2 linked regions of the Drosophila melanogaster genome follow. The protein of the gene in region 1 interacts with the protein of each later gene in a pairwise test. Each region holds a gene or a part of one and is shown in the gene's direction. Other genes may lie near its edges.

Evidence for each region. The genes of interacting proteins can lie anywhere in the genome.
Region 2: the proteins of lmd (region 1) and CG13775 interact in a two-hybrid assay, tested with the Drosophila melanogaster proteins (one large-scale study listed by BioGRID).

The regions. Positions count from the first base shown.
Region 1 is NT_033777.3:23,018,863-23,029,789, reverse strand, and holds lmd (lame duck), read left to right. Parts: upstream 1-3,076; 5' UTR 3,077-3,338; coding exon 3,339-4,853; intron 4,854-5,221; exon of another isoform or gene 5,222-5,368; coding exon of another isoform or gene 5,369-5,380; intron 5,381-5,868; coding exon 5,869-6,030; intron 6,031-7,310; coding exon 7,311-8,234; 3' UTR 8,235-8,568; downstream 8,569-10,927.
Region 2 is NT_033779.5:6,953,857-6,960,253, reverse strand, and holds CG13775 (uncharacterized protein), read left to right. Parts: upstream 1-3,303; 5' UTR 3,304-3,381; coding exon 3,382-3,636; intron 3,637-3,910; exon of another isoform or gene 3,911-3,946; intron 3,947-4,034; coding exon 4,035-4,997; intron 4,998-5,051; coding exon 5,052-5,669; 3' UTR 5,670-5,799; coding exon of another isoform or gene 5,800-5,861; 3' UTR 5,862-5,897; downstream 5,898-6,397. Other genes in the region: Atac1 (Ada2a-containing complex component 1), read left to right, coding at 1-1,071; CG3430 (uncharacterized protein), read right to left, coding at 1,215-1,598, 1,665-1,908, 1,967-3,156; SA1 (stromalin 1), read right to left, coding at 5,800-5,861, 5,927-6,397.

The DNA.
Region 1 (10,927 bases):
GAATCCAAAGCGCACACATGATGTCTGTGATTGGAAATAAACAAAAGCAATAACCATTCCCTATAGTTGCAACAACCAGAATTACCCCAGATATGGTCTGTAGTAGAGACTGTGGTAGTGCCATCCCAAAAGGGCGACCCATTGCCACATCAGCGGCTCACTTGATGGAGAATGTGGAGTAAATAAACGAGACCATTTGCAGCATTGTCAAGTGGAAAATCATTGACAAATTTATGAACCCAGTCGACATATAGTACCCTCAACGAGAAAAAATACACGAGTGTACGAGTATATATTTACGTACATTTATTTATCCTCGGAACCGGAGAGCGGAAAGCATAAAGTTAAAAATTTCATTAACAAATCGACACCGCGCCGTCTCATTACTTGGCAACAAATAAATTTTATTAAGTGCGCTTTTTTTTTCCTGCTCGCTCACGCTTTTATTTACGATTTTTCATTAAAGCCATTTGCTGGCATGCCGCATAATTTCCACCCACCGAAGTTGACCAAACCAAACATTCGCCATTCGAGTGTATCCATTAATGTTGCGGCTTATTTGTTGCACTGCGCCAAAGGAATATTACAATCTGATCGAAATAATGTTTACACATGCACCGTCGCTCGACGCAGGGCACAAGGGTCATTCAAGCTGCTGCAGCTAATTAATTGCCTGGTTTTCCAATCAAACATTTTTCGCTGGCTCATACAAACACGCCAGGCGATAGTGAGTGATTCATTTGAGCATTTAATTGAAATCGAATCTTGGGCCAGACAAATCATAAATTGGACGACAGCGCAGCGCTGCCCACGCACAAGAAAAATTACCTTAAATCTGGGAAAATTGATAATCACCAGCGGAAATGGTCGAGTGTTTTCCCAAGAAACCAAGAAACGTCGCCGCGCGTCATCGCCACTCATAAAAACATCAACTCGCATTGGCATCAGGTCTATAGGTCTTGGCCAGAAACGCGACTAGGATGCACTCGAAAGAATTTCAAAATGTACTTTTCAATATGATATTATGTTACTTGAACTATCAGAATGGATTGAAATTGGTAAAGTTTGTGTTCTGCCTTAAATCTTCTGTGTGCAGCTAATTTTTTTCTCACCCTACATACTACTTTTCTCGCAGTGCATTCGACGTGAAAAAGTGCTGCCAAAATCGCCTAATTTTAAGAATGATGTAAGTTGTCGCAATCGTGCGACAACAAAGGCGGTGGCCGCACAGTTTTGGCCAGCAGCCCAATCTTTTGGCCAGCCCTCCGACCGATTCGCAAATGACGAGCGCGCAAGTGGCAGGAATTGTGTGTTAAACGTTTCTGAATTGACTTGACGCGTTTCGGGCCGAGAACAGAAGCCCCCTGGCAGGGGCAGCTGCCAACCTATGCCAACCTCATCCAGCCCAGACCAGACCATCGCAGCCGATCTAAACCATTCGGCAGCCCCAAACGACCCAAAACAACAAAAAAAAAGAAGCGACCCCACAATCATCGCGTTCGGGTGAACGTGCGCCAAATCGCGACGCTTGCCAAAAATCATAAAAAATATATGGCGATTATAGGGAGATGGCATCATTTAATGATGAAGTGCCGCGTTGGCCACAAAAAAAAAAAAAAAAAACGAAAAAAGAGATAGCGAATGGGTTATGGGACATGGAAATGGATGTGGATGAAAGGAAACTGACTCATGCTCCGGAAACGTCACTATCGCAATTGCAGCCACAATGGGCAATGCACTCGAGGACCTAGGACAATATACAGCACTGCCATTGGAGAGGGGACAACAAATAGTTTTGCAATTGCATTTTTGTGGCGTAAATTAAAAACATATTGTCAGGCATTAGCGGACGAGCTAAATTGCGCTAAAAATAGCGCACAGAGAGCGCGATCTTTGAGTTGCATTCTACACGATGATGCACTGGAGAAGCGAGTGTGCGATGTGCATGCGCTATTTGTCGCACTGGCAAATGAGTTGCCACAATAAATATAGCCCATGTATGTAGTACAGTACTTACGCCCGCCTGGTGATTCCAATTCCGCCACTCGGTGTAGCAAAAACGGAGAGAAGAACGAGAATTATGTGGCAATAAAAAATAGTGCTAAAACATTCGACAGCCTAGCTGCAACTGCAACACAAACAAGAAGAAGGGCAGCGCACACTTGCACACCATGTGTGCAACAACAAGATCGCACAGTGCAGCACGGCTGGCGAATGGAAAATGGGCGGGGAAATCTGCTGGATCGAGGAAATGGGCTGAGGATACAGCAGATCACGAAAACGCAGAGCACAGCGACACTGCCACGGTCAAGTGCACTGTGGAAAATGCGACGATGGGATGTCAAAGTAGAATGCTCTAAATAGGTCGGTTTTAAGCACTTGAAATATATATTAAAAATATATAAAAAATATTCAGAAGTTTTAGCAGTAAATCTAGTCTGTCTTAGTAAAACAAAACTTAGAAAACAAATTCAACTGTATTTTTCGGCTCAAAAGTTTTAACTACTTTTTACATGCATTTTGATTACTAATGCATAATTTCAGTCTTAATATATGAATTTATTGAGAATATAAAAAGTAAATTACTGTTGAAAAATCCCCATAAATTGAATTATATATTTTTCTGTTACATTTTACTTTCATATTTCTACGTTTTGCTCCCATTTTCCACAGGGCACTCGTTGTAGCTTACGCATAATTTCTATACGCAAACATAAGCCTAAAATAACAGTATTAACAAGAACAACAACCACAACGGCAGCACTGCGACTAAAACAAGAGGAAAAACCTATGGTGGAAGGGGGTCTAAAGTGATGGTTGCCCCAGGGGTGAGGTGGAGGGACGTCGGCGCTGACTGCGGCAGCGGCGGTAGCACATGTGCGTGCCAAAGGCGAAGCAAAAGCGGACAGAGATCGCCCAGAACTGCGTCAACTGCGGCAGCGGCAGAGGCAGGATCCAACGCTCCACGTTCCCGCACCCGCACCCGCACCCGCTCCCGATTCCGTTCCCCTTCCCACACCCGTGGAACATCCCGTTCCGGGCGTTTAAATATCGTGCGGCAGCAGCTCTCCGGTTTATTGTCAGCCAGATCGCGGTGGCGTGAACATCGCAAGTGTTGAACTACATAGATACATAGAAAATCCTCCGACTTACGTGTGTGTTTAAGTGTTCGATTTTCTTGGGATTTCCCGCGTTCGGTGGCCATAAAAAACAAACAAAAAAAAGAAGAAATATTGGCAATCTTCCCAGACAACTGCCGGAAATGCGAAAGTGAAAGCGGCCGGCCCAGAAGAACGGACGACAGCAAATCACCAGAGACAGAGACATCGAAATATAGTATGTCATCCTCGCTGAAGACCAGCCAAAGTGGCGGCATGTACGTCAAGACGTCGTCGATTTCGGGTATTTCGTCGATTTCTGGCAAGGAGGCGGCCAGTTGCTACGGCGGATTTATGTCGCCTCCGCTGAGTGCCAATATAACGGCCAATAATGGGGAGCGGGAAATGTTCCGTGTGCCGGGAGCCAAGGTGGAAACGAATGAAAGTTACGCCTGCGGTGAGCTGCAGTTTCCGGACTTTTCACACCTCTGCTTTGCCGCCGAGACACCGAACTCCGTGTTCAGCGACTGTCACAACTATGCTGGCCAGGATCAGCAGCAGGATTCGGATCAGGATGACATTGTCTGCGCAGCGGCGGAAAATACGGGCATGCCCTATCAGCAGGGACAGTACACGCAACTGAATCGCGAGGATATCTTCCGCTTCGAACCGGAGGACATAGCGCGTCTGACTGGCGAGTCCGAACTGCCCGGCATGTTGCAACATCCACAGACGCCATATACCCCATATACCCCTTACACACCCTACACACCGTGCAGTGCACAGAATAGTCAGTATGCCGTGCAGCCGGCGAATGACTCCATTAATCTGGATATCGATTATTTTAATTACGACGAGATTAATTGCCAATCGAAAAACCAGTCACCGTGCTCATCACCGCACCTCGACGCCTGGCTGAACTTCAATCTCGGCGAGATTTCAGCGGCCGCATCATCGAGTGCCGCATCCCCGAAGTTGGGCAATGTGTTCGAGGAGCAGGTCAAAGAGGAGGCCTCGCCGGCGAAACTGCCATCGATGAACTCCACCTTCGGCACTCCCAAATGCATTCCCATGTGCGCCAGCAACTACGAGGATTACGCGAATCTCTACCAACAGGGATCGGGGTATTCCACGGAGAACTACCACAACAATATGGCTCAGGTCGTCGAGAAGCCCAATCGCGAGCACAAGGCCATCTGGACCATCGATGAACTGGATGAACTGATGTTGGGCGAGCAGCAGCAGTTCCTTCAGCATCATCTGCAGCAGCAACACTTGCAGGAGCAGCAGGAGCAACTGCATCAGCCACATGGGCAGGAACAGCAAACACAGAACTGCAAAGACGATCTGGTCAACTATCTATCGGATGAGTTCATCAAGGCCGAGGAGTTCCGGAGCCTGGACAGTGACGATGACGAGAACTACAACGAGGAGGAGGATGACCTGGACAATGACGTGTTTGCCCCACCGGCGGAAAGTGATCCCAAGCCGGATTCAACCTGCTGTGATCCCGAGGCGGAGCCAGAGAATGAGGTCATCCCACTCATCTGCCGCTGGACGGGATGCGACGAGGAGTTCCCGCACCAACAGGCCTTCGTCGAGCACATCGAGAAGTGCCATGTGGATGTGCGCAAGGGCGAGGACTTCTCCTGCTTCTGGCTAGACTGCCCCAGGCGCTACAAGCCCTTCAATGCCCGCTACAAGCTGCTCATCCACATGCGAGTTCACAGCGGCGAGAAGCCCAACAAATGTCCGGTAAGGATGAAAAGATGACTCTATATGCAGGACCAAAACCCATTTGACCCCATTGACTAGTTCGGAGATTTCCTTGTAGAATATTTTTTTTTTTGTTTAGAAGAAAAATGGCAACTCTGTTCGGGAATCCATCGATTGAGATACATGTGTATATTTTCTCTCTGTTTACCAACCTTTTCAATCCCTCATAGAATATCATTTTTCAAACATCAAACAATAGATTTGGATTTTATCCATTTTTTTTTCCCCCTGGCCGCAGCTGAACGCATTTGTTTATGCGTCCAAACACGACTTTTCCGCCGTAGGATCCCATTTTGTGCGTTTCGCTTTCCTTTTTGTTTGTGTGGCATCGTTGGATGGTATGGTATGGTATGGTATGGTATCGTGCACGTGTTGACATTTGATGCGCCATCGCTGGGATGATGAATTGTGCGGCGCAGGGCAATCACAGAAATTGACAGGGCGAGGCGAGAGCTGCGAGGCGGTATCCGAACGGAATCCGGAGTCCACTTGAAATGGAGTTGCTGGTAATGTTATTAGGGCCAACACTCGCTACATCTTCTATCCCTGCCCTTTGCCATGCTCTTTCGTTTTGATTTTTGAGTAATTGATGGATTCTTGCAGGATTTTTTTTTTCGATTAAATTGGCTCGGGCATCATCAACTTGGCCCACTGATGCTGCTCCAGCTGCCATTTGCCATTACACATGTTTCTGTTTCTGTTTCGGTTTCTCTTACTGTTTCTGTTGCAAAAACGTAATTTGCCCCTTTTCAGGTGGAGTGGTCGAGTGTTGCGAGTGGGCGGGGCTACTACGTGCAACACCTGCGGGCGTCAGCGGCAACAGTAACAGCATCTGCTGCGAGGTCACAATTTTATGCGTCCTTCCAGTGCCTCATCCTCTTGCTTTATCCCTTGCGCCATTCCTTGCAAAAAAAAAAAAAAACACCTTCCCTCCCACCCTTGGTAATTGCAATTTTCGATGACACCTTTCCACCTTTTTGTTTTTCCATTACAGTTTCCCGGCTGCAATAAAGCATTCTCGCGTTTGGAAAATTTGAAAATTCATCAACGCTCGCACACGGGCGAGCGGCCTTATGGCTGCCAGTATAAAGGTTGCCTCAAAGCGTTCAGCAATAGCTCGGATCGGGCGAAACATCAAAGGACCCACTACGATACGGTGAGTATCCCTATATGCTATGCATATGAGTGCGGCTGAATGCGTGGGCGGTGCCGGGATGGGTTGGCCTCTTCTCTGGGGTCCCAGCAATTTGCAGTGCGTGTCAAAAGGAAATTGAAGAGCTCGCGGCTGCAAAAGATGCAGCTGGGGCTTCACCCGACGAGCGTGAAGCGGCTTTAAGATTTAATGGACTCCAAGGCGCTTAGCGGCCCAAACAGGAGCTCAGAGTGGCAGAAAAAAAAAAGAAAAAGGAAATGGTCGAAGGAGCCACTGTTGCTGCTGCCAGCATGACATGTGCACATTTCGCATTTCGCTGCCTGAGTGATTTATAGTTTTGCGTGTGTACTGTATCTGTGAGAGCGAGCGGTGGCCGATGGCCAAAGTAACAGCAGCTGGAATAGGACTACGAATCCGAATAGGAATCGCAATCGGAATACGGAAGGGAGTACGGTGGGGCAGGAGTACAGAGGCAGGGACTAACAGCAGCCGCGTCAGCGCGTACGACAACCGGAAAAAAGGTCAAAACCAGCTGAAAAGGCCAGCGATTCAGCCAGCAGCAATGGCCAGAACAGCAGGCAACAACAGCAACAACCGCGGCAGGCAAATCGAATAAACTAAACGAGTTACTTTCGTTGCCTAGCTGAAGGGGCAGGGCAGCCAATCAGGATCACAAAAGGATACAATGTGTGTTGGCCTGGCGCGGCTGCCAATGCTTGCGACACACTCAGAAAAATTGGTGTTTCAAAAAGAAATTCTTCACTTTTTAGTAGCTCTCTACATTTTATTTGGAAATGCCTAGATAGTTTTCATAGTTATTGCAGTGCATATATTTATGCAGTAGGTATACTTTTTTTTGATAAAACTAAAACGATTGATTAATTTCTAAGCTTTAAGCTCCATTTGTCCAAGACAAATGTCAGTTTCCATGTTAATAATGAACCTTTTTCGAGTGCACTGCCCCTTGCTGTTGTCGCTTTCGGCCAGCGGCTGCTGCCTGGCCAGAATAAACAAAATGCAGCATGACATTTCAAAACGATTTGACTTGGCAAATACGCTGGCCCATCTGTTAGCTGGTGAACGTTTGCATGGGTGTGTGTGTGCCATGTGCGGGTGTGTGAGTGTGAGTGAGTTAGGAGCGCCTGCAGGGCGAATGGGAGAAATCAATTGCATAGTTTTCGGCATCGGCACTGAGCCGCTGCGGTTTGATGCGAACTCGCATCTGAGGCAAATACTACAGTACTAACGCAACGCTCTATCGATTCTCGCTCTATTTGGTACAGAAACCGTATGCCTGCCAGCTGCCTGGATGCACCAAGCGCTACACGGATCCCTCCAGCCTCCGCAAACATGTCAAGAACCACGCGCTGCGCAACGCCAACGGACAGCTGCGCCGCAAATCTGCCGGCGGCGCTTCCGTACCGCCCTCCGGTCCAAAGAAGGCGGCCAAAACACGCCGTCACTCCGAGTCGGCACTGGTGCAAAGGGGCGTGGGTGCGGGCGTGGGCGTGGCCGTGCCAAGTGCTCCGGGGGATCAGCGACAACACCGCAGCAATAGTTGCAGCGAGGCATTGCTGCTGCAGCAGCATCAACAGCAGCAGCAACAGCAGCAGCAGCAGCAGAAGCAGCATCAGCCAGAAAACGAAAGGACGACAGACCGCAGCAATTGCGGCACCGGTGTTGCAGCTAATAACAATTCAATGAACTTTAATGAGTTGTCAAATTGCATTGTCATCATCGAGCACAATCAGAGCGGAGGTCCTGCAGGACCTGCAACACTGGCAACCGCAACAGCAACAACAACGGCAACAGCAACATATGGCAATGGCAACATGGCGCCCGCACCGGAAACGGAAGTGCTGAGCGTTTGCAGCGGTGGCGGCAGCAGTAACAGTAACAGCAACAATAACCGTTACAATGCGAATATTAATCAATTAAGCGAACTCGAGCAATTGCTGACGACGGCGAAGCCCACAGGTACGCCAGCCGCATCTGCTAATGGAATTAGCCTGGCCAACAATAATGGCCGCGCCAATGGTGACAGCAAATGCCACTTGAGCGAGTTTGTGTCGTTCGAGTACGTGACAAAGTATCTGACGGATGTCTACGAGCCGCAATGCAAAAGCCCACAGCCCCCGGCTAATTTCCATTTGCAGCCCGAATTTGACAACAGCTTCGACATGCTGGACTTCCCGCAGTTCATTTAAGTTAGCTTAGTCCTTAGAACCAATTAAAGATGCCCCAACTGGAAAAGTCAGCGATTCAATGCCCAAAGATCTCAGTGCCTGAGCCCTTATAAGAATGCCTACCATTAAGTAAGTCTACACGCCTGTATATATACTATAGTTAAGTAGTGGATTAAGTCTCGCCAAAAGAAACGTTCCTGAATTTGAAAACACAATCCAGTGATTAGTCGCGTCTTCCCAAACTCTTCCCAATCGTATATATTTAATTAGAATAGTCTCGGCTAAGTACTACTTGTAATTGGATTGTTAAAGTTTGTCAACAAACTTATTGGCCGCAATAAATAATTTAATTTGCATACTTTTTTCTTACCAACTGCATTTGAATATTTAATTTTATTTAAATATTCATTTTAATTACTTGGCAAAACATGCTAATGTATGGATCACAAAAAAGTCAATGATAGATTGTGGGCAATGTTAATGAATTGGATTAAAGCAAATTAAAGCGATGCTTCATAAAAGTGTAAGTTTAACGAGTGTTTTTTTTATTGGAGATCTGTGTTTCAAAATAAGATTAACTTAATGGCTTTTTCTACCCGTTACTCGTAGAGTAAAAGGGTATACTAGATTCGTTGAAAAGTATGTATGGCCATTCACATTAGCTAAGTAACGGGTATCTGATAGGCGGAAACTCGACTATAGCATTCTCTCTGAGAATACCGTGCAGTAATTTTAGAATATAATTCAATTTGGAATACCTTCAGGATGCCCTATGCCCATGTCCATTAACCCTTTGAGTGACGATAAAAACCAGTTTTAAGTCCCCGCCGGTATATATAATTCCTGTTAACGCTCCGTGATTACGCCTATCCATTCGATTCCGATTATATATCTCACACCTGGCCATTTCTGTGGAAAATCGGACACAGAGACATGCACAACATGCTGGGATTTCCGTTTCATGTTTGCCCGTCTGACTTTACTTAATTGCTGTGCATTCAAAAAATAATTTACAACGCCAGAGCGTCGCATGTATGTGTGCACATAGTTAATTTATTATTCGCCTTTAACACATTCTCAGTTTTTCATTTATTTGTTTACATATATCGAATTAATTTGCATTGCATCCATATACAATTCATAAAAATCGGCTTAAGTCTTAAATTAATTTGTGTTCAGCTTGCGCACGGATTGCAGTTCATTCGGGGTCAGTGGTACGTTAAGTTCAGCGCATATATAGAAATGGGTTAAATCAGTGGCACATTCCCCTAATTTGATTTAAAATATACCCAGCATCATGTAATATTGGAAATTACCGCCAATGGAGCCTGTTCTGTGTCTCATTAAAAATGATCGTGTTAAGCCTTAAACCTTGACTTGATGCTAGTGGCCAGTGGGAAGTGGAAATGTTGCACTGTCGATGCAATTTTAGTGACTTAATAAGGCTCGAATGGCCTCTTTCGTTAACTGGTTGCAAATGGCCATGGTTGTGGTGCACAGCGGGCTGTAAATGTGTAAACAACTGCCGACATATCAATGAGCAAACGGGGGGGCGGATGCTGCCAGGAGGGCGTGGCTGGTTGGCTGGCGGGCGGAGCAGTCAGGCAAAAATAAAGTGGCCAGAAGGATGGTCCCGTTAAATGAGCAGTTAACATGGCCCGTTATGAACTTTAATATTAATAACCATTTATGCTTATGACAGACAATGAAAGCCGTGCGCAAATTTACTTGCCGCAGCCGCAAGCTCTACCTCCCGCACCCGCTCCCCTCCACCCACCAAAAAAAACCCGCCGCTCTTGGCCATCCCCATGACTCGTTTCTGTTTTCGCTGTCCAACTACGGCCCTAAAATGCTTAGGGCGGGTGTTTCTGGTGGTTCAGTTGGTGGTTGGGCGGCGGGTGGTGCACTATGCATTTAAAAATGCTGCAAGTGTGTTCCAGTTAATATGCAGACCGACACGGGTCTTCATTACAGCCCGCAAACACAGACAAGGACATAAACACATACAGACACACACGGACACATACATGCACAGAGAACGGCAGGGACAGCGTCAACAAAATAAACAAAAATGTAAAGCAATTAAAAGCAGCCCAGCAGAACACAACGGAATATCCCACATAAAACATGAGCAAAGGCATGATTTTGACTTTTTTGCTTGCTTACTCTCTATTACTACTACCCCGACTACAAAAGTATTCACAGACACACACTGTGGCGAAGGATATGCCGCATTTTTAAAGGGATTATACAAAAATTGAGTTAAGTACGTATACTTGATTTCACAAAAAGATACTAGAAGTGAGCTATCACTGTGCTAACTTTGTGGCCAAAGAGAGTGAGCTCATAAAACTAAAGAAACTTCATTTAAGTTCAGGTTTATAGCTTTAACAATGATTAATATGTTGAATTTTCAATGCACACTTCAAACTTATCCCCAGTGCCAATACACCCCGCTAATACCCTCGATGCCTGGTCATCGAAATGACTGCTGGACTGCCCGCTGAGGGCTACAAGTGGTCATTGGCTGGCTCCTGGCGTTCTGTTCGAGTGCGGATTTTAGTTGGATCTGAAATGAATTTTTTTTTGCTTTTGAGGTTAAAGGGCGGAATCTGTGCAGCTAGGCTAGGCGCCGGCGAACACGAGCGGATGGCAGCTAAATATTTACAAGCTCAACGAGAACACATCCGCAAACAAAAAGCGCAGACACGCAG
Region 2 (6,397 bases), on another chromosome or scaffold:
ATGGAAATAGCAGAGATATCTGCAGAAGATGAGGATGTGTTTCACTTTGAGACCGAGCACCTGGCCCTGCGTGGCAACCAGTGCTATACCAATTTGCTGCGCACTTTGGCCGTGCTGCAGGCACAAAGGATTCGGGTGCATCAGCAGATTGAGGAATTGGAAGCCACACAAAATATCTACTTGGAGAATCCGCAACATATGCTGGACAAACTGCGAAACAACGAGCCTTTGATAGCGGATAATTACATCACCACGACCGTTCTACCGGACTTGCCAACTCTGTCGCCCAATGACGAGGAAGGGGGCACAAATGAGACACCGACCGATGCGTCTTCATGGACGCAAGAGGCGAACAAGAATCGGGACAGGAGCAATGGACGGTCGGAGAATTTCAATCGCTTGTGGACCAACGAAGAGCAGAGTCGCTTGGAGCAGCTGCTCATCCAGTATCCGCCAGAGGAAGTGGAAATGCGCAGATTCGGGAAGATAGCGAAGGCCTTGGGCAACAGAACGGCACAGCAAGTGTATAGTCGTGTCCAGAAGTATTTCCAAAAGCTGCACGATGCCGGAATGCCTGTGCCCGGTCGCATACCCAAGCATCGACGTCCTGGTTTGAGTAAGCCGAAGATCAAACTTCGCAAGTCAACCTTCTTCCCCGCTCATAATATATCGCTACAAATGCCAGAGGACGATTTCACATTTGACGACCTGCGAATCCCATCGCCTGCGAGCGATATGCTCCTTATGCCGGCATCCAAGATCGAACCAAAGATCGAATCCGAGTACATGGATGCCGATCTGAATGCGGAGTCAAAGCGAAAACAGGAACTATGCCTTAAGCTTCTATCAGCCATTCAGGACGAGAAACGGGAAATGGAGGACGGATATGAGCCAGACTTGCTGGCCGCCAAGTGTGCCGAGTGCGAAGAGGCATCTGTGACCAGGACCCAATGGCGTTGTAACAGTTGTTATTGTTACCTTAATCTGTGCGGAGATTGCCTGGCCAGTCAGCTAATCGAAGGGCGTTTCGAGCATTTAAGTCATGAAGTTGTAGTGGACCAAGAGTCATGACGCTCCTAGAGTCCCATTTACTTGAGTACTAAATTACTAGACTTGCCTGTAAAGCTACAAATTAAATATAAAGAGAATAATTTTAAAAAATTCTATTTTATTTATAAAAACTTAATATTAAATGGTATAAAAGAGAGGCCCTCTTAATTGCGCAATTGGGCAGATGATTTCGGCAGAGATTGAATACGCTGGCGACGCTTTGCTTCGAACTCCGTAGCCAGCTGCCATGTTTCTTTGTCCAACGTATCCTTCCCCCGGGCGATGCCCAGCAGCCGTGAGAGGACCAGCAATCCATGCAGATCATCGGCATTACTTTTGACATTAGCTTTACGCATGTCCACGAAATCCTGCTGGATCATTTCAGTGTGCTCCTCGCTCACGTTGAAGCCGCTAGTGCGCGCTGTGGTCAAGTACTTGCGAAACTGCTGCAGACGTGATGGCTGCAGATAGTGGTGGGCTGCCTTTAGAGATTCATCAACAAGTTCCACGGCCTTAGAATCGGCATTAATGGGCAGCACAAAATCGCTCTGAAAACATATCATTAATAGTTTCTATTGGATATAATGATTATTTATATAAACTTATATTCTTACCGGCAACATACTTCGCCCTTCACTGAGCACGAGAACTGGAATATTTGCTTGGTAGTCTATTTGGTAATACTGAAAGTCGCACTTCAGTTCCTGATTATTGATCAAGTGCGCTAAATGCTGAACGGCATGAACACCATTGGCCTCCAGCTTGCCCTGTTGCATGCACGTCTCGTCGAGCACCAAATGCGTATGGGGAGCCAACTGTAGTACGCCGGAAACCAGCTTGTTTGTCTCATAATCCTTCCTGCAAGTACTCATTAATAGGTATTCAATTTTATACTATTTCTGCTTAGCCAACTTACTTTGGGGCAAAGGCTGCCGTGTTTAGTGTGACGAGAGTCATGGGCATGTAATGGCTGGCCGGCAGTAGCAGCTCCAGAATTTGATACAACTTGGTTGCATACGCCTCACAATTCTTAGGGAGATTACAAAGGTTAAGGGCGAACTTGCCGATGCTCTGCATCTCAGAACGACTGTAGACCGTAGATATTAGGTGGGAGAGCAAATACTCGGCAGCCAGATCGTCATCAAAGAGGCAGAGTTTAAGAAGCATGCGCAGATCTTTGTGCACAGCAAGGTGGGTTGGATACGTCTCCTCACATATTTCCGTTGGCTGTCGAAGGCTTTTGTCCAGCAGCGGATTGGCATGCGGCAGCACCTGGACTCCGAAGGCATGCAGGCGGGGTATAAGAAATGGCGATGGATGAGCTGCCTGCAGTTCACTCAAGTTTTCACAATCGTCTATTTCCAGGGTAGCGGCGTCTAGTGAAGCATCCACTGACAGAAAGCCCACAAAGTCGACCAGCGAGTTAAGCTGGTAGGTATCGAACTCCTCGTAAACCTTTACCATGCATGCCATGCTGGGACGATCCGGCAGAGGCGAGTTAATCAGGTAATCAGACCCAAGAACAGAGGATTTGGAGGCGCCGACTGGCTCGCTATCTTTTTGAATCTCTTTTAGGCAGGGTCGCTTGAACGTTGTTTCGCTCGCAACGTCCACATCCATGGCTTCTTCTTCGCCTACAATAGTCCGCTTCTTGGCTGAACTGGGAGATTGACCCAGACTGGCCAAATCGATCTGGGGACAGCACAGCTTCTCATGCTCCTTGCTCCAATCGTTCAGACCAGGCACAGAGACCACGAACATGGTACGCCTCTCTCCATGCACGTTTCCATCGGCGTTGTAGTCAATCACTTCGCCATTGGCTATTTTCAAGCAGTCCCTGTACTTTCCTTCCTGTACACGTTTGCTGCCGTCGGCGGATTTCACTTCGTAGCGCTCCAGATAGATTTCTGGGTCCATCATGTCCTGGATCATTCCACGAAAGCGCACCAGAGTCTGATCCTTCAGCTTGTGAAGAGGCGTGTAGTTGAGCAGGGGAATCGAGTGCCAACGACTGGGATCCTTGAGCAAGTCCTTGAGTGCAGCGCTGTCCGCTTGCTGGGCGGCCAGTTCATCGGGCGTGCTGGGCAGCTCCATCGCACAGGGCATTATCTAGTTAACGAATGAATTTGCAAATGCCTCAAAAACCTCGAATGCAAAAAACAACAGCTGCTTTGGCGCGCCAAAAACTGATTGCAGCATATTAGTGATGGTCATCGATGGGCCTATCGATATCTGCCAGGGATGTCGAACTCTGCCGCAGAACGGATGTAGAGGCGGATGTGGACATCCGCAAAAAATGTACAATTTGAGAATTACCAAAGAATTGCAGCGATGAGCAAGAAGAAAAGCAATGTGTGGCAGTACTTCTACAAGACATCCGGCACAGTGGCCACCTGTCTGCTGTGCAACAGGAACTACTCGAGGCGAGGACGCGGCACAACATGTCTGCGGAATCATCTGAAGAGCAAGCACCCACCGGAGTTCCTATCTCTATCCGGGGACATAAAGTACCTGGACCTGGTTAAGAGCGAGATCTCCATCGGTTCGCCACAGCACCCCACAGCCCAGCTAGAATTGAATCTGCACGTAAGTGGGATAGCATATAGATGTGCATACATACCTATGTACATGCATATGTACTGTGCAAGAAGTGTACCTTATGTGAAATCGGGGTACATGCCCTTCTAGATATTCTGTCATGTGGAGATGGTTTCCCCAAACTTAAGTTTCCATTCAAATATAGTTTCTTTGGTAGTTCATAAAGTAATTTATGCCTTCTCTTATTTAAAACTTTTTACTAATATAGCAACAGCGGATGCGGATTTTTATCCGCGTTTGGCTAGATCGGCAAACATGTGTTGTGTTTATAAAGTGTAGTTAAGGAGGTTTTAAAAATGTACTGTTATGGTCTTAGTATTATATTTTTATAAATTATGCGTTTTTCACTAATCTGATGCATTAAATTATTCTATTAATCATTTTAGGAAACAGATTCAGATCCATTGGACACCGAGGATATATCCTACAGCAAACGCTGTGATGAGAAGTTGGCCCTCATGCTACTAAATCACTCCTTTGAGTTCATTGAAGGACCAGGATTCGTAAATTTCATTAGGACGCTGCAGCCGCGGTACACGATTCAACCAAGGAGCTACTATGAGAAGATACTGTGCGAGGATATACAAAGGAAAATGCATCAGCATTTGAAGCAACAGGTGGATCTGCTGGATGCCATATCGTTGTCTACGAGTCTCTGGCGTGGTGACAAAGGCGAAGGACTGCTGAGCTTGTCCTGCTCCGGAATATCAAGGGATTTTCAGACTCACCGCCTAATGCTGAAATGCGAGGCTCTGAATTACGAAAGCACTTCGAAGCTAGCTTGTTGCATTCGAGATCTTGTGCCCAGCTTGGCCATTGAGGTGCCCAAAGAGAAGATACACTGCGTAATCAGGGACGAGATGACGGCGCTGCCAGGTTCCCTGCCCGATTGCAGTGTGCACCGCCTGCAGATGTGCGTTCGATTTGCTTTGCAATCGAACGAATTACTGCAGAACCTTTCATCCAAGTGCAAGCAAATAGTTGACCATTTTGCGTCGTCTAAGATGGCCAACGATCATCTGAAATTCATTCAAGAGATCCGCTTGACGCGAGACCCGTGCACACTTACACCTTACGATCCCTGTCAATGGAATTCCGCTTTTCAGATGATGAGCAGCGTGTTTCGAATGAAAGATGCTCTATCCTTGTACTGCGAAGAGTATAGTCTGGTCCAAATATATCCAGATGAATGGATAGAGATCGATTTGTGCAGCAAAGTAATGCAGCCTTGTGAAGAAACAATCAAGATATGGAGCAATCCATCTACGACCACCTCATCCGTAATCCCGCTGGTTGCCGCTTTACGGGATTCCCTCCGAACAGATGTCCATAACTTTGTCTCATCTGTGGTAAGTTGCAGTAGATAAAACCATAAAGTATTGTCTAATATTTCGAATGTCTAGACTATATGCAGTTTCGCCAGAAAGTTGCTTGAAGAACTGGAAATGAAGTTCGCCCACATCACTAGCGACATCAACTTTTTGATGGCCACATATTTGGATCCGAGATATAAGCAAGCATTTTTCACCGAACGTGAGGAGCAGTTGGTGGCCAATGAAGTTCTGCTTCAGCTCGCTGGAGTGCCAGAGGATTGCAATGGTCAGCCACCGCTGAAAATAATCAAAGTGTCATCCACATCGTCCCAGAAGAATGAATCAAAGATCGATAGCATTCTGGATAGCATACTGACAACTGGAACGACGAACACTCAACAGCCAAATACGTCAATGGGCTCCCAGTCTCAGATTAAGAATCTGCTATATCTATACAACTCCGAACCCAGAATCGATAGGAACATGGATCCCCTGATTTGGTGGAGGAGCAACATAAAATACATATCCTTGTATGGCATTGTTAGGAAATTCTTATCAGCACCAGCAGCAAGTGTGGTTAGTGAAGGCTTATTTAGAAAATCAACGCACTTGTATTTCGACATGCAGGCGGGCTTGAGCCCCGAAAGTGCATCCAAAATGTTGCTCATGAAGGCCAACTTTAGCTTTAGCAATTCGGAAATCAATTAGGATACAGTAATTTATATAATTTAAACGTATTTATGTACATAATATTAGCTTTAATCTTACAACTACTTGATTTTCCGGAAAATTAGATTTTGCACTTAAGCCGCGTGTATGGCTGATTGCCTGATGGGTCCTAGCCCCTGTAATCAGGATCATTGTGTTCCTCTTCGTCTTCCTCCTCCTCCTCTTCTTCATCTAAATTAAAAACATGTTTTTCATAATGTTGATTCTAAATAAAATGAAAGCTATGAAATTCTTACCATGATCTCGACGTTTACGTGTGTAGGCTCGTTTGCTGGCGACGGGCGCTTGATCAGTTTCGCCATGTAGCAAGGAATTGCGATATAATATCAGCGGCTGCCATTCCTCAGCTCGGCTGGATGGCATTGCGGGTGGTATTATCTTGTCCAGAAAGCTCATTATGACCTTCTTGTCTTGCTTCAGTAGCTTGTAGTTGAACTCGTTCAAAACCTCCAGGAAGAGCAAGCGAGTTGGAGCCCGCACCGGATCATCTGGCTCCTTGTTCGCAGCGAAATAAATGCCACCACGATGAATGGCGGCCACAGATTCGCGATTCTTGATGGCATCGAAACCAAATGTGAGCGCAAATCGCTTGGCCAACTCCTTGAGGTCCACAAACTCTTGCGAACTCTTTGAAACTATGCCATCCTCACTCTGCTCCTGCAGACTCTTAAAGACTGTGATCAGGCTCAAAAGGAGCGTCATAGCGA